Linked DNA regions of Arabidopsis thaliana. The main gene of each other region encodes a partner of the protein of the gene in region 2 in a complex. Each region holds a gene or a part of one and is shown on either strand. Other genes may lie near its edges. A codon is read from its position in the direction of its gene.

Region 1 (6,056 bases), on a different chromosome or scaffold from region 2:
ACGCTGAGGCACTGCTTATGACAGATACGAGCGTTTCCTTAAGATTATGATTCTCAGTGTCCTGAAGAACACCAATCGTCCTGTAAAATTCTGGTTTATTAAGAATTATCTCTCTCCTCAATTTAAGGTTGGCTCCTTGTTTCTTTGCTTCCACATATGCCTTTTGTGTTTGTATCTATATATGTCTTCTTATCTCTAGATGTGAACTTATCTTGTAGCCACATTAACTTAATGTGTATCGCATTCTAATCTTGCAGGATGTGATTCCACATATGGCACAAGAATACAACTTTGAGTATGAGCTGATTACATACAAATGGCCGTCCTGGTTGCATAAACAGAAAGAAAAGCAACGAATTATTTGGGCCTACAAAATTCTTTTCCTTGATGTCATATTTCCTCTCTCATTGGAAAAGGTACAGATGATCATATTTTCATTTCTTTCTTGCGATTTTGATGCTTGGAAGATGTCACTATAAGGTATTCGACATGTGTTCTGTAGGTTATATTTGTCGACGCAGATCAAATTATAAGGACAGACATGGGAGAACTGTATGATATGGATATTAAAGGAAGACCTCTCGCGTATACTCCTTTTTGTGACAACAACAGGGAAATGGATGGCTATAAATTTTGGAAACAGGTAAACATTAATCTTTTTGTTTTGCTTGTAGAGGTAGTTTTGGTTTCCATACTCTTACATTCTCAATTGCTTTGAACAGGGTTTCTGGAAAGAACATTTACGTGGTAGGCCATACCATATCAGGTAAAAAAACCTACTTGAACCTCAGTAAGTTGTTGCTTTTCCCATTCTTAATGTGCCTTGTTCTATCTGTAGTGCTCTATACGTTGTTGACTTGGTTAAGTTCCGAGAGACAGCGGCAGGAGATAATCTAAGAGTATTCTATGAGACGCTTAGCAAGGATCCAAACAGTTTGTCCAACCTAGATCAGGCAAGTTGTATAATATGGTTCTCTATACTTAGGGCTGTAACCTTTCTTTGGTGGTCACACTATCGTTTTACTTTATTTGAAAGGCTTTTGCATTTGACTCTTACCATACACCATGCTCTGAATCTTTAGAGTTCCAGGTTCAAACATATTGATGGCATGTCATTATTTTGTTTCAGGATCTTCCTAATTATGCTCAGCATACTGTTCCTATATTTTCACTTCCCCAAGAGTGGTTGTGGTGTGAATCCTGGTGTGGAAACGCCACAAAAGCCAAGGCCAGAACAATCGATCTTTGCAATAATCCCATGACAAAGGAACCAAAGCTTCAGGTAAAATGATGGCTTTCCTCATATCTACAACACTCACAAAGCGTTGTTTGTTATAATGCGGTGTTCTTCTGCAGGGTGCCCGAAGAATCGTAACCGAATGGCCCGATCTTGATCTCGAAGCACGAAAATTCACAGCAAAAATCTTGGGTGAAGATGTGGAACTCAACGAGCCAGTAGCTGCTCCTGCTACAGACAAGCCTAATCCTCTTCCATCAAATGACATCTCTGAAGATACAGAACAAGACTTGGAATCTAAAGCAGAACTGTAAATTCAATGCTCCTGAAGTTTCAAAAGAGGAGAAGATAAATTAGACAATCATGGCTATTTTGCATTTGCTAGATAAGGTTTCTAGTTTTGTAGCTACAGTTTCTTAGACATCTCTCACATAAATTAGACAGAAGATAAAGTCAACAGATTGCAGGAGAATAAGAATATCAGTATAATATGATTTTGAATCAATTACAAACATAGTCACTCATAACGTATTTGTAAACTCGTCCGTCCAAAATCTCAAATCAAACCAAACCGACAAACCAGTAAAAAAACCGAACCGGAAAACTGACGTGTCAGTGTCTGTATAAAAAGCAATACGTGTTCTTTTAGCAAAGGGTCTGACACTCTGATAGAAAAGCTGAAGTAATTCAATAAATTATTTTAGAAGAGGGAAGAAATCTACGGTTTTACAAGGGGACGTTATTTATTAATGGATTTTAATAGAAAGAAATCCAACACTAATACACTGTTATTTAATTAATGATTTTAAATTCAATTTTAAAATTTAGTGTTATTGGAGTTTATATCTTTGTAAATCATGTTTAATAGATTTTAAAATTTTGTGTTATTCAATTAAAAGATTTTAATACCGTCAAAAAAAAAAAAAAAAAAACAAACTAAAAGGATTTTAAATTTTATTTCTAAATTAGAGAAGAATCCAGAGGAATTAATTTTCACCACTTTTCTCTTCTTATATATAAGTCAATCCCCGAAGTAACATTTTTGACACAGTTTTCAATTCTTCAGCAGACAGATCGATCACACTCCATCGATTCCGTATGAAACCCTAGATTTCTGCAACTGAATTCCTAATTCGAAAAAGAATGGAGGGTTCGTCGTCGACGATAGCAAGGAAGACATGGGAACTAGAGAACAGCATTCTAACAGTAGACTCACCTGATTCAACCTCCGACAACATCTTCTACTACGACGATACTTCACAGACTAGGTTCCAGCAAGAGAAACCGTGGGAGAATGATCCTCACTACTTTAAACGAGTCAAGATCTCAGCGCTCGCTCTTCTTAAGATGGTGGTTCACGCTCGCTCTGGTGGTACAATTGAAATAATGGGTCTTATGCAAGGTAAGACCGATGGTGATACTATCATTGTTATGGATGCTTTTGCTTTACCAGTGGAAGGTACTGAGACAAGGGTTAATGCTCAGGATGATGCTTATGAGTACATGGTTGAGTATTCACAGACCAACAAGCTCGTAAGTGAGATTCAAGAAACTTCAAAGTTTTGATTTTTTTCTTTAGAAAGTTTGTATATAAGTCAGAACAGTTTGATTGATTATGGTTATAATAACTTGACCTTTATAAGGCGGGGCGGCTGGAGAATGTTGTTGGATGGTATCACTCTCACCCTGGATATGGATGCTGGCTCTCCGGTATTGATGTTTCTACGCAGAGGCTTAACCAACAGCATCAGGAGCCATTTTTAGCTGTTGTTATTGATCCCACAAGGACTGTTTCAGCTGGTAAGGTTGAGATTGGTGCTTTCAGAACATACTCTAAAGGATATAAGCCTCCAGATGAACCTGTTTCTGAGTATCAAACTATTCCTTTAAATAAGATTGAGGACTTTGGTGTTCACTGCAAACAGGTACATTTTCTTGATTTTTCTCGGTGCAAGGTCCCAACATGATTCTTATGTTTGGCTTTTGGTTTTGGCAGTACTATTCATTAGATGTCACTTATTTCAAGTCATCTCTTGATTCTCACCTTCTGGATCTACTATGGAACAAGTACTGGGTGAACACTCTTTCTTCTTCTCCACTGCTGGGTAATGGAGACTATGTTGCTGGACAAATATCAGACTTAGGTAAACTCTTGGATATGGCCTAAATCATTCACTCTTACTTTTTTTTCTCAAGTCACAGTCAAGTAATGTGTTATATAATCGTTTTCGTAATTTTACCAATGAAGCTGAGAAGCTTGAGCAAGCCGAGAGTCATCTGGTTCAGTCTCGCTTTGGAGGAGTTGTGCCATCATCCCTTCATAAGAAAAAAGAGGTATGTCCTAGTGGTTCATCAAATTTTAATTGCGATTACGGTGGCTAGTTAAGTGCCTCTGTAAACATCTAGCTACTAAGAGGATATATCTTCAAATGTTTTGGTTATTGGGACCTGGAGGTGTTCTGTTTAGTTGAAATGAAAGTGTTGTTGAAGGTTGTACAGATATATAACTTTCGAGAATGTTAATGGGTGTTGCTTGTTAAAGATCTCATTTGACGTGTGTTCTAAATCACTTTCAGGATGAGTCTCAACTAACTAAGATAACTCGGGATAGCGCAAAGATAACTGTGGAACAGGTCCATGGACTAATGTCGCAGGTGAGTAATAATATTGAAACGAAATGGTGACATATCTCCCTTAAGGTTCGTGTATTTCACAGACTCAAAATCCATCATTGTTGTACTTGTAGGTCATAAAAGATGAATTATTCAACTCAATGCGTCAGTCCAACAACAAATCTCCCACTGACTCGTCGGATCCAGACCCTATGATTACATATTGAAGTTGCTCTTCTTTTGGTTTCTAGTTTTGGATTGACCCATCATTTGTTGTCCTTTCATTTATTTTCTGTTGTGTAAAGAATTATAATGCTAATGAGAATAATACAGAAGAAGATTTTGGTTAAAGAAATGTTTTTAAGCCCATTCGATTCGTCGGGGTTAAAGGAATAATCTTAAGCCCTTAAACAAAAATTGTATTTATGGAAATCAGAAACCTAGTGATCTTTTCCAACTCTATCCCCTCTCTCTTTCCTTCTCTGCACTCACGTTGTCCGTGAATAGGTGGTACTAAAACATGGCTAACAATGGCAATCATCTTTCTCTGTCTTTGTTTGTTGATGAAAAGTGTTCCTTATGGGACTGTCGACGACGACGCCCACAAGGAGCTATGTACTGCCAACCTGACCATCTTCAACAAGCTTATCAAGAACGCACTTCACACAACATGGCAAACTTATACACTTGAAGACGTAGTATTGCGGAGAATCTTAGAAAGCCTTAGTTATCCGGAGCTTCGTGGAAGTCCGGGGATACCAAACCTTCAAGAAAACAGTCAGTTATTGTCTATAGCTCCGCACGGATATGTTTCCTACAAATTTGACATGTAGCGAGAAACATAGCATATGGCTGTTTCTCGCGCTGTTCGTGCCCGACCAAGGGGTTTGGAAACTGGTTAAAGAACGGCATCGAAGGAACTATGTACGTGATAAATTTATACCACGTTTTGCTATGAACAATGGTTCAACATGGGAGCTATATAGGTTTACAGTGAAAAGTGACTCTGTAGCCTTTTTCACTATGGAATATCGCAAACCCTTGCTTCTTGGGGTGGAGGATCTCAGCCTTTTTGATGATGATGTTGATGATGATTCGCATTCGAATAAGAGGAAAACTCCACCTTGTTCTGAGAGCAAGAGAACTGACAAAAGATCTTCATATGGACATGTTTCCGAGTATTCCTCTAAATAAGATTATGGACCTTAATTTGATGTTTACCTTTTATTTTCTGTTGTGTGACACAAATTTGTAGGCAAATGGGAATGAATTAAATTGGAATAATACAGAAAAAATTGTGTTAAGGAATCGTCGACATGGTTTGATATTTATTTGAGAATAAAGACACAAAAGATGAAACTAGAAAGCAATAATTTAGTAAGACCAACAAAAAAAAAGGGTGGTGTTTTGCTATTGTACGCCTCTTTCTCTCCAAAGCTTTTTTTTTTTCAGCTACAGAAATGGCGCAGAGAGTCGGAGCATTGAAAAGATTGAAACTTTCTTCTGCAACTCCAGATTTTCCTATTGGTTTCCGTTGTGATGGAGTTCGTGTTCATCGACGCTGCTCTTTCTCCAGAAATTGTGCTTCTAATCGAAAGCCAAGACTCCGAATTGTTGCTCAGAAGAAATGGAAATTGAACGATATCGACACAAGTAAGACCCTTCTTCCTCTTCGAATTCTGGTTCTTGAAGTTCTCTGTAACAGCTGCTGAGTTATGTTGGTGTTCTTATATGACAGATGTTGTACAAGAACGATTTAGTCAGTGGGTGTCGAAATCACAGAAAATTCTGAGTGATGTAACATCTCCATTGAAGAAAAAGAGTCAGAGTCTCAAAAAGATTGATCTTGAGGATCAACAAGATTTTGAAGACTTGGAGGAACTTCTTACAGTTGAACAAACTGTTCGAAGTGATACACCAAAAGGGTTTCTTTCTTTTGATGCTATTATCTCCATTGAACAGTTTAGTAGGTGAGCTAATCTAAACCACAGGATCATTGAATCATCTTCACTTTGTGGTTGTTGTTAAAGTATTCATTTTTCTTTGACCCTTTATAAGCAGGATGAATGGAATCACTGGGAAGAAAATGCAGGATATATTTGAAACAATTGTTTCTCCAGCTTTATCTACTGATGCCCGGTACTTGGTGGAGTATTGCTGTTTCAGGTTTTTATCGAGGGATAGCTCGGAGTTTCATCCGTGTCTCA
Region 2 (8,465 bases):
AACGGATCATTATGTATAAATGACATCTGAAATGTTTCAGTGTCTGAATTAACACCTTGTGCTTTTGTCCTTTCTGAAGTGAAAAACCATGGAGAGTTTAGGCAAAACGAAATTGTATTTGGCAATGTAATTGGATTGATAACTAGTTGGTGTAATGTAATTGAAAATTGAAAAACTAACATAACAATAGAATCCCCAAAGAGTAAACATAACCATGAACGAACAATTAGCATAGCTGCGAGTAATCAAGTTTGCAACAACATTTATTCACCACCACACATAAGAGCACATTTAAGGTGAAAAGACTCGGGCGAACAAAGGATTTATTAAAACACCAAACATATTTTAGCAAAATAGGTAAGAGAGAAAAGCAAATCAAGCAGCAGCAACAACTGTCTTGTGCTTCTCGAGATTGGCAATGATTTCTTCTTTAGCAGCACCAACCACAGTCTCCTTGATCTCTCCTTCTTTCATGAAGATAAACGTTGGCATTGCCTGAACTTTAAACTCCTCAGCAACAGTCTGCACAACAACATAACAAGCAAGATAAAGGCTCAGAGAAGTCAAAAATCCCTAAGTTTGGATATTGGGATAGTGTAAGATTGATGAAGGAAACTCACGTTCAATTCGTCAACATCGACCTTGAAGAAGACTACGTCGAGGTGCTTCTTGGCTAAGTCAGCAAAGACGGGTGCAATGAAACGGCAAGGTGGGCACCATGTTGCAGTGAAGTCTATCACAATCTGTGTCATTTCCACACAACCATATTTAAGAAAACAAGCTACACCGATCGATAATTCAAACAATAGATACGACATCGGTTCATCATTAAGATAACAAATGTATGCATTTCATGTGCTTCACAGAACATGGATAATAATACAAACATAGATACAAAATGGGTTCACTAAAGACAATTTTCATGTGATCTCTAGCAGATGATTCATAAAATTGAATATGCATAGTTGAGAGATTCACATAACATGTTTTTATCCAATGATGCTTCTATCAAGTTCTTAGGGTTTCAATTTCTGAGATTCTGGGTTCCTAAACAATCAATTAAACTATTAGGGTTCATAAATTTGACATTAAGGAGCTCAAAAATTCGATTGGGGACAATTCAAACCTAATTCTGAATCCGTCATATTCTAATCAAAAGGACCAAGATCAGAAACGATAAAGCAGCGAAATCAATCAGAAAGAAACATTTAAAACCTTAGATCGAGAGTTTTTACCAGTTTCTTGGATTCGTTGGCGGCTTTGAGCTTCTCGGTCCAATCTTCAACGGTGTGGCAAGCGATAACTTCTCCTTCTGCGGCCATTTTCTCTTCTCTGTGTTTGATTTTTGATTTGATGAGTTTTCGAGTGATTATTCTTCTTCGTCTCTGTGTCGGTTCTTATAGAGAGAAGGAGGCGGAGAGAATCTTACATCTTTTTATTATATTTTAATGCAAATGGAATAATAATAATAATTAATAAAACATGTTGTCAAATAGGAAAAGAATTAATACTCAAATTAAAAAAATGGACCAAACCACGCGGAGGAATTCGATGCCGGATTTGTTGATCTAACGGTTGAGATTGAAGAATTGCAAATCGGATTCAGCTTCTGAGGACGCGTGTAATTTATGCTCATTGAAAATAGAAGAAATTGATATATTTAGTCAAAAAGGTTATGAGATTTGAGTATTTCTTTTTATTTTTTATTTTTTTTTTGTTGGTCACATTGAATATTATTGCCTTTGGTAGTTCAGTCCTATATTTTATTTGAGAAACAAAATCAGAAAAGAATCTATAATTTGAAGCAACTTTCATATTGTAATTTGGTATTCCTATATTTTATTTGAGAAACAATATCAGAAAAGATCAAAAGAATCTATAATTTGTAGCAACTTTAAATATTGTAATAGGAAATCTTTTAAAATTTATCAATATGAAATTTGTTAATTTATAATAGGTCTTGAGATTTGATCATGTGACTTCTAAACACAAGTTATTGGGCTTTTGTTTAAGTAAAGCCCATGTGTCAAAGAAATGGATTGTTTTCCTAGTTAGTGAAATAATCTTATACACACAATTTAAAAACAATAGAGAAAATTAATGTTGAAATGAGCAGATTAATGTGGGGTTGTACATATCAAGGTGGAACTATCACAAGGAAGAACAAAGAGATATCTTGAGGTAACTACCCAAAGAAAGAGCAATGAAACCCTACCATGACAATTTGTCCAGACTATAACGAGTTAAATCATTATCATGAATTCCATACCATGGCAATTTGTTTTCTTTCAATGGGATGTCTACCATTCCAAAAAAGTTTTGCCATCAACAACCGCATCTGTTCTTTTGAGTAAATGTAATTTTGGTAAACTATGTAGTCTATAATCATTAGTTACAATATGGATCTGTAAAGTTGATTCAAAAACAATTGTGATGTTCTCGAACGGGATCACCATAAACTTCATCAAAAAAAATCCTTTAAGCGAGAGAAACTCGTGATTTTTCGAGACAACGATTGTGTCTATGAGTCTATCGTCCAACCTCATCCAATACCAATATGTTCAGTTATATCTAAGTTGTAAAGCACATAAAATCGATTTGTCAGTCAGCTCACATGTTTAAACCAAAGTCGTATTCCAATGCGAGACTTGGTTTCCTAGTCTGAGATAGGTAAATTTCTTTATATACTACCCTCTATGTAACGAGAGAGTGGTTCTTTTTTCACTTTTAATTCATGAGAGCACTTTCAAAACATTTTGCATGTCATTGCTCTCAAGATTTGGGCTCACAACTTTTCCGATGACTTCTCGGTCATATCTTGACCATTCGATCAATTTTTCGATTGCTTCTAGTCGATTCTTTCTCAACAAATAATTATTTACGTTTCCATCTTAAATTGCTCCCTAAGCTCTAAAACACATAACATATCATCTTTTTCCGATCTGGTATCATAATATTAAACGTGGTATTGTCATCATAAAATACCTCATCATCGTGTTTTCCAAATCACGACGTGTTTTTTTATTTGTGTAAAAGATTTACTGTAGTAATTTAGGCTCACATATAAAAATATTTCTAAACAATATATTATTTGTTGATTTTTTTTTTTAATCTACAATCAATTTGGTAAACTTACCATCACAAATTAATTATAAAATTTATGAACTAACAAAAAAAAATATAGTATTTATGCTTAATATATATATATATATATTTTAATTTATTTTGGGTACTAATCTCATATGAGTTGTGACCATATTAAGTAAATTTTGTAAAGCGCCTCTCCGATCACCGGCACAGAATCTAGTCCCCGTTTATTTTTTTAATATAAAAAGAGAGCAAACTCCAAAAAAAAAAAAAAAAAAAGCGAGAGAGAAATCAAAACCTTGTAAGGTTTCTTAGGGTTTCAATCGAAGCGGGAGAGAAAATCTCAGAAGAGAAGCCATGGATGAAGCTTTGACGAACGCTTCTGCAATCGGTGACCAACGCCAGAAAATCGAACAGTACAAACTCATCCTCTCCTCTGTTCTCTCTTCCAACGATCTTCTCCAAGCTCAGAGATTCATCGATCACAGTAATTTCGCATCTCCCTTCTTTCTCATGGTTTCAACTTCATAAGAGATTCGACAACTGCTTTTTGTTCTTATGGAATTCGGTTTATATCAGAATTTCTGGTTTGATTTTGATTTTTGCTTCCTCACAATTTTTCCAGTTCTTTCCGATGATGTCCCGTTGGTGGTTTCGAGGCAGCTTTTGCAGTCTTTCGCACAAGAGCTTGGGAGATTAGAACCGGAGACGCAGAAGGAGATTGCTCAATTTACTCTTACCCAGATTCAGCCTAGAGTTGTTTCCTTTGAGGAACAGGTTTGTTTTCTCTTCGTGATACCTTACTGTTTAGCAGCAATCGTGTACTTTTTAAACCCTAATTAGTTTACCTACTTAACATAAGTTGAGAGGTATGTAGAGTCGCTTTGCTATTGTACCGCTTTGGTATGTGAAATCTACACTGAAAGCTAATTTGAGATATTTGTTTACTAAGGATGCTGTATTTTGGGATAACTGAGACAATGTACGTTGTGTTGTTTTTCAATCTCTTTATTCTAAGAGATGAAACTGTTTGTGGTGTATTTGCAGGCACTTGTTATCAGAGAAAAACTTGCGGGTTTGTATGAATCAGAGCAGGAATGGTCAAAAGCAGCACAGATGTTGAGTGGAATTGATCTGGATTCTGGAATGAGGTGTGTGGCATTGAGCAGAATTTTGTTTTAGTTTCCTCTCTATGTTCTTTTGTGTTGCTTATTTTGGATTTGCGGAATTCTTTATTAGGGCCGTTGACGACAACTTCAAGCTTTCAAAGTGTATCCAAATTGCTCGTTTGTATCTCGAGGTTTGTCTTTCCCTTTCATGTACATATGCACAATAGATTCTGTGTCCTTTTCATTAATTTTTAAGCATGTAAATCGGTTATCTCTGTTTATGAGATGAATTTACGCATCGCAGTAATGATTTATAGCTAGTTTGTCTTGTTTCCTTCTGTGGGTGCGTGTCAATCAGTTACAGAAGTTAGATCTTAAAAGCACAAAAGAAACCCGTTGTTGAATGTTGATTCAATCTTCAAATATTTGGACATTTTTCTAGAGAGATTTTATTTAAAGTTAAGTCTCTTGACCAAATCTAAGTGTCATGAAATTAGGAATATCGACTGTTAAGAGCATTATTCTGCTTCACTACATCACTTTTTTATTTATTGCTTGTGAGAGTAAATTGAGGCTAGCAGAGTTGTATAAATACATTTAGTTAAATTTTTATTGTTCTCTAATACTTTTGTGTTTTGAAATTTTCAGGATGATGATGCTGTAAATGCAGAGGCTTTTATAAATAAAGCTTCTTTCTTAGTGAGCAATAGTCAGAATGAAGTTTTGAATTTGCAGTACAAGGTTGGACCACCTTAAAGTAAACTAAGAATTTATGTGCTGGGTGATTAAGGAGCATTCGTTTTCAAGTTTTAATATATTTCTGTTTCAGGTCTGCTATGCTAGAATTTTGGACATGAAAAGAAAGTTTTTAGAGGCTGCACTTCGGTATTACGGCATATCTCAGATTGAGCAACGCCAAATAGGGGATGAGTAAGTGAACTGACTTATCTTTCTGCTACATCTTTTCTTCAAATTCTCCTCTGTTGGTTTCTTGTTCGGATGGAATAATGATTAATTAATCTTCTATCCATCTTTGGAGACTCTGTATTTAAAGCTAGTTTCCTACTTTTCCCCTCTCTGTGATTGAATAGTGTTCCTCTTTTCTCTCTCCAATACCTTTGTGATATCTCATATTCTGAAACGGTTATAATGTGTTTTCTAATCTTTTCAGAGAGATTGATGAGAATGCTTTAGAGCAGGCCCTATCAGCTGCTGTCACATGTACCATATTAGCTGGAGCTGGTCCTCAGCGTTCTCGTGTTCTTGCAACTTTATACAAAGTAATTCCCTTTTGGATTACAAATAGAATACTTTCCTGCTTGCTTATTTATTGTTTTTTATTTCTCAATATCTTTCTATTAACAGGATGAGCGTTGCTCCAAGCTGAAGATTTATCCTATCCTGCAGAAGGTTCTATCTCTTATTACCTACAACTGTTTCCTCTAGTAGACAAACATACATTTTCATGCTATTGGACATATAGTATTGTTTGAACTCACATATTACTCTTGTTTAAGCCGGCATGATGTTTATTAGATTTGATTCATTATCAAATCAAACAAGTTCACCATAGCTTATAGAGGCTTGGTTAGAAATGCATGGTAACTTTTTGTTTTTTAATGCAACTTTATAGGTGTATCTGGAAAGGATTTTAAGGAGACCAGAGATTGATGCCTTTTCAGAAGAACTAAGGCCACATCAGGTATGGACTGTGAATTAAGATTTAGATGTAGTTTTTGGATAACATCTGAGTTGGTAAGTAGGTTCATAACAAGTTATTACACTGTTGATTTCAACAGAAAGCATCTTTGCCTGACAAATCCACTGTTCTTGACCGTGCTATGATTGAGCATAACCTTCTTAGTGCAAGCAAACTCTACACAAACATAAGGTATGAGATGTCGAATTAGTATCTTCTTTGTGTGTCTAGACTTGTTTGATTTTCTCAACTATTTTATATCCTAGGTTTGATGAATTGGGAACTCTGTTGGCGATTGATCCAAGAAAAGCGGAGAAGATAGCAGCTAATATGATTGGGCAAGACCGAATGAGGGGTTCCATAGATCAGGTAAGCAATAAAAAATACTTTGTTGGTTGAGCTATGTAAGAGCCCTGAAGAGAATTCTCGTTAGTGTTGATTTTCTAGAAGGAGGTTCCTAGACGTGTTTTAATATTTTATGTTACTGTTCAGGAGGAGGCTGTGATTCATTTTGAGGATGACGTGGAGGAACTACAACAATGGGATCAACAGGTTTTCTATCTCTCCCTCCCACTCTTTGTCTCTTTAGAGCAACTATATATGATTGTTTGTTTTATTGGCGTGGAATATGACTGAAAAGTGGAATCTGTGCAGATATCGGGATTATGCCAAGCTCTCAATGACATTCTGGATGGGATGGCCAAGAAAGGCATGTCTGTTCCTGTCTGATTGACTCCCAAGCCGTGAGATCGCCTCATGATGATTAATTTGTATTAGCCGAGCAACGGATCGAGTCTCATGCCAAAGTTTTTGCCAAATTGCTGTGTTTTGGGGACAGTCATTTTCACCTTATTTACTTTCTTGCAAATTCATGTCTATGTCTTTAGGTTAATTGATTCAGAGAGGAAAAGATTAGGCATTGAATGAGGATTTTTAAGAAAGTTGAAAAGAGGTTCAGGGTACATTTTTACCTCAGAACAAATTATTTTATGCATAGATGAACCTTTCTTGTGCAAGAGAATGATGAAACTAGTAGTTTTTTTTTTTTTTTTGGCTCAACAACAACTTCTCATTTACCAAACGGTGATTACACAGAGTCTGAATACACACAATCTTTTATCCAAGCCGGCACCTTTAGAATACATTTTAGGATCATAATTCAATAAAGAAAGAGATTCCCTAGCAATTCTATCTGCCACACTGTTTCCTTCACGCTTTATATGCATCACCTTCACCTCCTCAAATTGTTGGAATATATGTCTAATGTCCTGAATTCTTGGGGCCAAATTTGGATAATCAGTATCATCCCCTAACAGAGACACTAGATGTTGGGAATCTGATTCAAAGATGACTTTCTTATAGTTAAATCTTGACATTGAAAGAGCTGCCCATCTCATAGCTTCAAGTTCCACTTCCAACACTGTCTGAACTCTCGGGATTGCACGAAGTCCCAGCCACAACATTTTCCCCTCATGATTTCTCAGATGAAACTAGTAGTTACATATAACATTTTCCCATTCGTTGTTTAATTTTTATTCTTGAACGATCAAAACTTATGCGAATTTAAGAAATGATCAATGATAACAGACGAAACTGCTAGTAATAATAATGAGAAACTGTTGCAACAAAATTTCGGAAGATTCGCAAGAACCGACTAGTAAAATGTGTTGCAACACCAAACAATTGAAGTGAAACTTAGCTAAGTAGTGTAAAGAAGAGACTACATTTCAAGGTTCCATGTAGTTTCTGCGGTCAATTTCGGCGTTTTCAGTTCATCCGCAAGATTCACAGACGCACATACCTGTTGAAACAAGAAAATAAAGCCCATCAACGACCAAAACACATGGAATTTCTAAAGTTCGTAAAGCGGTAAAGCTTCTTCACGACATAGTTGTTGCTCAAAAGAAAGCAAATCCAATGTCTAAATATGATTGCCAATACACAGAACAATCTAAAATTACTGATTATGATGCAGCAAAGAATACATGAACTATCCTAACCCAAAGATGATGCCTTATTGTCAAGAAGCTATGCATCCCATGTAGGTAGCAGTTTCATCTATCAAATCAATTCTATTTCTACCAGGTTTAAGTCACTGATATCACCGTTTAACTTTAAAGAACTAAGATTGTCATCAAAATATAGTAAACGATATGAACTTTCGACTGAAAATGTTCTTTCTTACCTTGAATCCACTTGCTTTGTTGTTCCTTGACCATTCCATACCCAACAACTTACTAGACGTCTGATAAGTTGCCCTCACATTATCACCACTATAAAATCTTCGAGAAACCGCAAAATCCCATGTATTTTTCGCCAAGTCATAACACGGCTCGAACGTAGCTAACCCTCCATGAGCATAGGTATACTTAATCTTACAGTTGTTTGTCCCAACCATGTGGTTAGCAGAGAGTTTGTTTGCAGAATCAATCACAAGGCTCCCATCGACAATTGTTCTGTTATCAGCTCTGCTATGAATGTAAGTCAAATTCAAAGGCTTCTCTGCAATTCTTACTGTGTTCATGAACTGAAACCTAACATCCTGTAAACCAAAATCACCAACATAGTTA
Region 3 (6,814 bases), on a different chromosome or scaffold from region 2:
AAGGCTAGTGCGTCGTCGTTTTAACTTCAGTTTAACATGTTTACATGTCCTTCAAATAACTTAGAATACAATTTATGAAAGATCCTACAAAAATATTATAACTTTTGTATAAAAAAAAATTACCACCAAAATCCTAAAATTCTAGCTGGAATTTCCACATATAACTTAATTAGTTGTTTGTGTCATTAATAGAGTTTCGAAACTCTTCCTAAAACCGAAAATAGAAGAGAATCTGTTAATTGGTAGTGGTAACCATTGAAACTTGCACAAGTGTGGATCAAGTTGGATATTAAGTTACTTGAATTAGTGAAACTGCTGAGCTGAGATTTTCCATATTTTGCTGTCCATTGGTTTTTAATAATGTTAGTCTCCATGGAGAATTAGTTAATTGGTATATGATTATACTTATATGGGTTATAGCGTGAAAAAAAGAAACATCTACTTTAAGCAACAGCAGAAAGCATTAAAGAATAGATAACCCCAATTTCCGAGAGGAACGTTAGGAGAAAGTTTTTGAAAATTTACAAAACTTTCTGTTAGTAGATGCTTAATTTCATCAGTGTTTTCCAAGCAATTTTGAATTAAGGATTAATAAAATTGTTATGTATATTATGAAATAATGAAGATATTTCGCTATCTCTAGAGTCTAAAGAGATTAGCAGTTGGTGCCTTGGTGGTTGACAAAAGAAAAGAAGAAGAGATTAGCAGTTGCGTTTAACATTGGTTTTATCTAGAAAGATGAACTGATGGTTACATATAAAACTAGTCGTTGTCTGTCAGTGTCCACTAAAGACTATTTTCTTCTTTTGATATACATTTCTAAATATACAACAATATCATTTCTCCGAGGTTTGTGAATTGTTTAGGTATAAAATAGTTTTCTACAATAACTTTTGCTATCGGGTGCAAAGACATTCTACCATAGAACGAGTTTAGTATAGTGTCATTTCGTAGATTCTTTATTCGGATTGGTTTTTCAATATCAACAAAATTCTGGTTCATTTTCTTCCCTCCTATAAACGAAGGTAAAAAGAATGAAGAAAAAAGAAAAGAAAGAATATTTTGTTAATGCATTATCTAACGTGTTAATGTGTCACTTTCATTTTTCTTAATCGTTTGTTGAAAACTTTTTGCAGTTGATTTCAGGAAAACGGAACACACATATATATATATATATGTCTTTTATTTTCAATACGGACCAAATCCATCATTTGCTAATCAGTGAGAAAACTAAATCGTGGTCTACTAGTTTATATAAATTGAAAAAAGAATCATAAATAATATGTCACATATCCAACCTAAAGATTTATGTCTATACATGTAAAAATGTAAATGAGCATATTCCCAAATTTCCCACAAGTATATAGCACTACCTACACTCACGCTTCTTCAAAGTGAAGGCGATGGTGGAAAAAAGCGTAGACGATGACTTGATAAGATTGACTGAAGAAAAGAAAAAAAGTTATCATAAGTCAAAAAGCATGTCGTTAGAGTTTGACGAGATCCCATGCATGATTATATTGTCGGATACAATTGTTTGAACAATACGGTTGGAAAAATCTACCGTAATATGAAGACTTGAATGACATAACTAAAGATTGTACCTTGCAAGCCAGCAATGTGTTAATGATATGAGTAAGGGTGCAGAGGCTGCGGCTGGTGGCTACTGGCTAGTGATAAGCAATTTACGATGTAATGACAGATATATCATAGGAGACTAGGAGTTATATATGGTATATATAGAATCTAAAATAACATATTTATCAATTTACTATATTAAGTTTTATGGTTCCAAACTCAAAACTAATTGTTTATGAGTAGATTTGGTTTATATACTGTATATTACTCATATTCTATTTCCACTTTTAATGTGGGATTTCTCATAAACTATATACAGTTATATTTTTAATTAATGAAATAACAATAATACAGATTTAAATGTAGCCTTAACTATTTTTATGAAATTTAAATGAAATTTAATTTAAAAGATTGCATTCAGAATACAAAACTGTAATATTCTGTAAAATATTGATAGGTACTACTTACAACATAGGAAACATATTTAAAGATATGTTATATAAACTAAAAATAGTTTAAAATATCAATATATATATATATATATATATATATTACGAAAAGAAGAATTAAAACAGACTACACACATAATAAAATTTTAATAGTAACACTTACAAACATATCCAATAATATTAAATAAAATTAATTCATTATGATCTTTATGTTATTTCTATATACTCAAACCAAAAAAAAAGAAGTAAATGATTCAAAATCCAATCATAATTATTTTTCAAATTCATTAAAATACAAGAAATTTCATATTAAAAAAATAGATATTTCTTTCAAAGATTTATATTCAAATTATAAATATATACTAAAACGCTAAAAAATTAAGTACATGCTATAATCTTTTCCATTATTTTTCTAACAAAAGAAAGTTATATATGGGCTAAACTTAGAAGGAAAGCCCAAGAGGCCAAGACTATATAAAGATTCATGACCCGAGTTTAAGATCCGATTTCAGAATTTGGGACTAAAGGAGGACAACGACAAGCGCCGGGAAAAAATCGAGAGCGACAACAATGGCGCCTTCTTCGTCGAGCGGTCTCACGTTCAAGCTACATCCTCTGGTGATGCTTAACATATCCGATCACTTCACTAGGGTTAAAACTCAGCTTAATCCTCCCGCCGCTTCTTGCGCCACCGGGAATGGCTCCAACAACGCCGACGCGATGTTACTGCAAAACCCTAGGGTTTATGGCTGCGTCATCGGTCTCCAGAGAGGTCGTACGGTTGAGATCTTCAACAGTTTCGAGCTGATATTCGATCCTGCTCTTGATACTCTCGACAGATCCTTCCTCGAGAAGAAGCAAGAACTCTGTAAGTTTACTTACACTCGCTCACTTTTGTTGTCGATTGTTTGATACTCTTGCTAATTTGTGAGTTTTGTTATTTTTTAGATAAGAAGGTGTTCCCTGACTTCTACGTATTGGGATGGTATTCTACGGGAAGTGACGCTACCGAATCTGATATGCATATCCACAAAGCTGTGAGTAGTGTAGCTTTAATGTTTAATATAAATTTAATTGAATTTAGGATTCTCATTGTACTGATTTGTTGAGGTTTTCATCTACAGCTGATGGACATTAATGAATCTCCTGTGTATGTTCTTTTAAATCCTGCTATCAATCATGCACAGAAGGATCTTCCTGTGACTATCTACGAAAGCGGTAAAAATTGGTTATTTGCATCACTGATTGTCTTATTGTTTTATAGATTATAATCTTGCTAATCCTGTCTTTTTGATTGTTTTCAAAATTTGAAGAATTTCATGTCATTGATGGAATTCCTCAGTCGATTTTCGTGCATACCAGCTACACAATTGAGGTATGTGTTTAGGCCACTTGATCTGTAATCTATCTATGTGATATGAGAGTGGACTTTCAATAACATTGCAATGATTGTAAACGCGTGCAGACAGTTGAAGCTGAAAGAATATCTGTTGATCATGTTGCACATCTTAAGCCATCTGATGGAGGCTCAGCTGCGACTCAGTGTAAGCTTTATTATCACTTCATATTTATCATAATCTGTTCTTTCTTTTTCATCTGCATGGAATTTTAGGTTGATTCCTCGATTTTGTGCAGTGGCTGCTCATCTTACTGGAATACATAGTGCCATCAAGATGCTTAATAGCAGAATCAGAGTGCTATACCAGCATATTGTCGCTATGCAGAAAGGTATATTCTTGCTCAAGTCCCCACTCTCGGTCCCTCTTCAATTTGTTAATCAAGCTTTTGTGACCTGTCCCTTGATCTTAGAATATTTCTATGTGTTTTCCTACGGGGAAGAAAGAATTAAAAGGGTGTTAGAAGATGATTTTGAGCAAGAGTAATGTGGTACTAATGACTTATGTGATTCTGCATCTAGGTGATAAACCTTGTGAGAACTCAGTTCTGAGACAAGTATCTAGTCTGCTCAGAAGTTTGCCTGCCGCAGAATCAGAGAAGTTCAATGAAAATTTCTTGATGGTAAGTAGTACCTTACCTTTTTCTAGCAATGTTGGTTAAATAAAGTGGCCTTCGAATCTCTTAAATTCTTAATGTAGCTTGTTGTTGTGAATGATATCTTTATAAATATGATGTTCTCTTCTTTTGCAGGAGTACAACGACAAATTGCTGATGTCTTACCTAGCAATGATCACGAATTGTACCAGGTATGTGCTCGACACGCTATTCCATTTAACTATTTGAATAAAAGAATGATGGACATGCATGCAAATCTTTTGCTTGATACAATGCAATGTTTTACGATACCAAGACAGATGAAATCACCAGTACTTGGTTGAGGCTGACATTGAGATAGTTTGTTTTATTTAGATTAAGAACTAAATCTAGGACCTTGCTCAATTATCCTTGTTATAATTAAGATACTGAGCCTGTAGTAGCTAAGGGAATATAAGCTTCTTTTTAAAAAAAAAATCTAATCTTGTGCTACACCTTGACCAATCCATATGTCAATTTCATTCCAACGAAATGTCCTGAAAGAATCCTTTGTATATTTGATCTCTTACTCTCCTTTTTCCCCCCAAAATGCAGCAACATGAACGAGGTGGTTGACAAATTCAACACTGCATACGACAAACACAGCCGAAGAGGTGGTAGGACTGCGTTCATGTAAAGATTAGTTTCAATGTAAAAAAACCTTTTCTTTCTTTTGGTGGTCTGGTCCCTAAGTGAAAATTTAGAACTCTTTTAAGGCATTTCACTTTTCGGAACCAAACAAACAGCTAGGAAGCTTTTCTTCTGTTTAAGCTTTGTCTAGACAGAAGCTAAGTTTAGGCCTAACTAAATTTTGCGACAAGACTGTAAAAACAAAACAGCTTTTACCTTCTCTCAATTTTTCATTTATTCAAAAATTTGAGCAATCAGTGAACAAAGAGATTTGTTTCATATCTGTCGTAATCTACTCAACATCTCTCTGCATATCAATGAGCTCGCTGACAAATCAAGTCCCTGTTGTGGTGACACTGGTTCCACCTTCGGCTGTGCTGCTAACTGCAACATTAGGCCAGTTGGATCCCCAATGTCAGGCGCCTGCAGGCTGGTAAGCTTCTCTTGCCCAATAGTTAGACCAGGCATTGAAAGATCAGAAAGCTCAGATTGGCCTATGTAAACGGAGAAACCTGTAGGATGCCTCAGGTGTGACTGGAAGTCAAATAGAGATGAGTTGGCTGTGGCCAGTCCCTCAGATCTACTGTGTGGCATTGGATAGTGCACATTGTGGTTGTGGGTCTGAGTCGCTAAACTGCCTTGGAGAGTCCCTGAACTGCCTGCACCGACGTGGCTGCTGTTGCGTGCTGCTGGTACAACGTGGGTGTGCTTGCCTATATAAGTTGTTAGTACGCTCTTGAAGTCATCAGAGGCTCTCTCTACATGCTTCGTTACGGTACATCCATTAGCTGTGCATTTATAGTAGCTCCTGAAAACATAGAAAACTGATTTTATTAAATTCAACAAAGGGATAGCAGCAGAACAGAGCATTTGGATACAAGAACCTTGGATTCGGGTTTCCTTTAACGACTTTTTGCCCATACTTGCGCCAGCGATAACCATCATCGAGGATGTCAATGTCACTTGTGGTCTGCACCACAACTCTTGGCTCACGGCTGGCTCTGGTTGATCCACTCGTTTCTGTTGCATAAGCTTCTAGTTTCCTGATACGGGAATGCCATCAGAGCTCAGAAGTCAGAACGTCTTGTCTTTCTAAGTATTATAATGGTTACTAGAGCAACTTTTTATACCTTCTCTTTGATTCGGACTCTTCTACCTCTCCATCGTAAGTCAGGGAAACACTCATGTGGGACGTGCGATCATCTTCGTTTTCATCTCTATATAAGGCATCAGCTGCTGCATCACCATACCCGAACTGATGAGTCCCGTTTTGAACCTGCATTGATCCTGAATGGCTTCCGTATTCGAGCTCTGCAGATACAGGTGATGTCCATTCTATGTTCTCATTGGTTCCAGCAAAACCTTCGTATTCGGTTGCATCTATTTGCATGTCTTGGCCAGTACCGGATGATCCAATCCCTGACCGGCGGTTAGGTGGAGGTTTGCTGTGTATATGATCTCCTGTGTATATGATCTCTATAATATGACCTTCCCGAGACCGTTCAACCTTCTTCTTGGCCTCACAATTCGGGTGCGTGCACTTGTAATAGCTCCGCGGATACTCACTTCCTTTAACTAGCTTTTGTCCATATTTTCTCCAGTTGTATCCATCATCTGCAGGTGCACAACAAGCCATCGAGTCTCCTAAACCGCCGAGCTGTCTTTCTTCATAGTCTTGGGAATCATCGGGTTCTAAAGCGATGTTAGTAGGATCAAGGCCACTTCCTGAAATGGTTTGGAAGGCTAAGGATGTGGTAATGTCGTCAAATAACTCAGCTTTAGCCTTATCAGAAGGTACTGATGAGAGCTTCCCGGTTGTTGGAGATAGCTGAGCTTACAAATGATAAGAGATTTTAGAGCACTGATTCACGAAAGAGAGAGACCATAATGAAATGTTGAAAAGAAAAAGTTACCAAAGGGTTTGAGAGGAAAACAGGAGACTCTAACAGAGTTGCAGGACTAAGACCAGGAGAAGAGATGGTTAAAGATTTCGACTGAAGAATATCCTCAGTGTTTAACCACGGTGCATTAAACCCGGATCTCGCAGCAATCCTTTCACGAAGAGCTCCTCGTGAACTTTCTTGAAAGGTGGTTTGCAAAGAATCCTCATTCTTGATGTAATTTAA

The links.
Region 1: the proteins of COP8 (region 2) and CSN5B are in contact, whole or in part, in a cryo-EM structure (PDB 9IS6), measured with the Arabidopsis thaliana proteins. Residues at the interface, in NP_199111.1 of Arabidopsis thaliana: Gln368 (codon at 6,430), Trp370 (codon at 6,436), Asp371 (codon at 6,439), Ile374 (codon at 6,550), Ser375 (codon at 6,553), Leu377 (codon at 6,559), Cys378 (codon at 6,562), Asn382 (codon at 6,574); in NP_177279.1 of Arabidopsis thaliana: Lys248 (codon at 3,303), Trp250 (codon at 3,309), Val251 (codon at 3,312), Ser255 (codon at 3,324), Ser257 (codon at 3,330), Leu260 (codon at 3,339), Gln328 (codon at 3,889), Lys331 (codon at 3,990), Phe335 (codon at 4,002), Asn336 (codon at 4,005).
Region 3: the proteins of COP8 (region 2) and CSN6B are in contact, whole or in part, in a cryo-EM structure (PDB 9IS6), measured with the Arabidopsis thaliana proteins. Residues at the interface, in NP_199111.1 of Arabidopsis thaliana: Gln205 (codon at 5,098), Ile206 (codon at 5,101), Arg243 (codon at 5,453), Tyr249 (codon at 5,471), Lys250 (codon at 5,474), Asp251 (codon at 5,562), Glu252 (codon at 5,565), Arg253 (codon at 5,568), Tyr267 (codon at 5,833), Leu268 (codon at 5,836), Glu269 (codon at 5,839), Glu366 (codon at 6,424), Leu367 (codon at 6,427), Trp370 (codon at 6,436), Gln373 (codon at 6,445), Ile374 (codon at 6,550), Leu377 (codon at 6,559), Ala380 (codon at 6,568), Leu381 (codon at 6,571), Asn382 (codon at 6,574), Ile384 (codon at 6,580), Leu385 (codon at 6,583), Met388 (codon at 6,592), Met393 (codon at 6,607); in NP_567746.1 of Arabidopsis thaliana: Ser7 (codon at 2,616), Leu9 (codon at 2,622), Gln66 (codon at 2,793), Arg69 (codon at 2,802), Tyr108 (codon at 2,999), Glu159 (codon at 3,239), Ser160 (codon at 3,242), Glu161 (codon at 3,245), Phe162 (codon at 3,343), His163 (codon at 3,346), Val164 (codon at 3,349), Leu222 (codon at 3,704), Arg225 (codon at 3,713), Ile226 (codon at 3,716), Val228 (codon at 3,722), Leu229 (codon at 3,725), His232 (codon at 3,734), Lys241 (codon at 3,951), Gln250 (codon at 3,978), Leu254 (codon at 3,990), Ser257 (codon at 3,999), Leu258 (codon at 4,002), Ala260 (codon at 4,008), Ala261 (codon at 4,011), Phe266 (codon at 4,026), Asn269 (codon at 4,035).

The regions. Positions count from the first base shown.
Region 1 is NC_003070.9:26,850,180-26,856,235, forward strand, and holds CSN5B (COP9-signalosome 5B), read left to right. Parts: upstream 1-2,226; 5' UTR 2,227-2,380; coding exon 2,381-2,770; intron 2,771-2,880; coding exon 2,881-3,162; intron 3,163-3,233; coding exon 3,234-3,381; intron 3,382-3,485; coding exon 3,486-3,571; intron 3,572-3,813; coding exon 3,814-3,891; intron 3,892-3,983; coding exon 3,984-4,076; 3' UTR 4,077-4,240; downstream 4,241-6,056. Other genes in the region: EBS1 (EMS-MUTAGENIZED BRI1 SUPPRESSOR 1), read left to right, coding at 25-127, 258-416, 503-643, 723-766, 839-953, 1,130-1,282, 1,357-1,551; AT1G71235 (uncharacterized protein), read left to right, coding at 4,380-4,626, 4,844-5,043; AT1G71240 (chromosome-partitioning protein, putative (DUF639)), read left to right, coding at 5,310-5,502, 5,588-5,819, 5,908-6,056. UniProt on the Arabidopsis thaliana protein: Probable protease subunit of the COP9 signalosome complex (CSN), a complex involved in various cellular and developmental processes such as photomorphogenesis and auxin and jasmonate responses.
Region 2 is NC_003076.8:17,235,629-17,244,093, reverse strand, and holds COP8 (Proteasome component (PCI) domain protein), read left to right. Parts: upstream 1-3,277; 5' UTR 3,278-3,444; coding exon 3,445-3,574; intron 3,575-3,712; coding exon 3,713-3,864; intron 3,865-4,134; coding exon 4,135-4,238; intron 4,239-4,326; coding exon 4,327-4,387; intron 4,388-4,844; coding exon 4,845-4,937; intron 4,938-5,025; coding exon 5,026-5,126; intron 5,127-5,367; coding exon 5,368-5,476; intron 5,477-5,561; coding exon 5,562-5,606; intron 5,607-5,829; coding exon 5,830-5,898; intron 5,899-5,995; coding exon 5,996-6,087; intron 6,088-6,161; coding exon 6,162-6,264; intron 6,265-6,387; coding exon 6,388-6,447; intron 6,448-6,549; coding exon 6,550-6,624; 3' UTR 6,625-6,941; downstream 6,942-8,465. Other genes in the region: TRX3 (thioredoxin 3), read right to left, coding at 376-522, 621-743, 1,236-1,322; AT5G42965 (Polynucleotidyl transferase, ribonuclease H-like superfamily protein), read right to left, coding at 6,969-7,358; AT5G42960 (outer envelope pore 24B-like protein), read right to left, coding at 7,616-7,696, 8,081-8,437. UniProt on the Arabidopsis thaliana protein: Component of the COP9 signalosome complex (CSN), a complex involved in various cellular and developmental processes such as photomorphogenesis and auxin and jasmonate responses.
Region 3 is NC_003075.7:13,352,632-13,359,445, forward strand, and holds CSN6B (COP9 signalosome subunit 6B), read left to right. Parts: upstream 1-2,360; 5' UTR 2,361-2,597; coding exon 2,598-2,895; intron 2,896-2,975; coding exon 2,976-3,064; intron 3,065-3,151; coding exon 3,152-3,245; intron 3,246-3,340; coding exon 3,341-3,402; intron 3,403-3,492; coding exon 3,493-3,571; intron 3,572-3,662; coding exon 3,663-3,755; intron 3,756-3,945; coding exon 3,946-4,046; intron 4,047-4,175; coding exon 4,176-4,231; intron 4,232-4,613; coding exon 4,614-4,695; 3' UTR 4,696-4,964; downstream 4,965-6,814. Other genes in the region: WRKY34 (WRKY DNA-binding protein 34), read right to left, coding at 4,965-5,496, 5,573-5,731, 5,819-6,516, 6,602-6,814. UniProt on the Arabidopsis thaliana protein: Component of the COP9 signalosome complex (CSN), a complex involved in various cellular and developmental processes such as photomorphogenesis and auxin and jasmonate responses.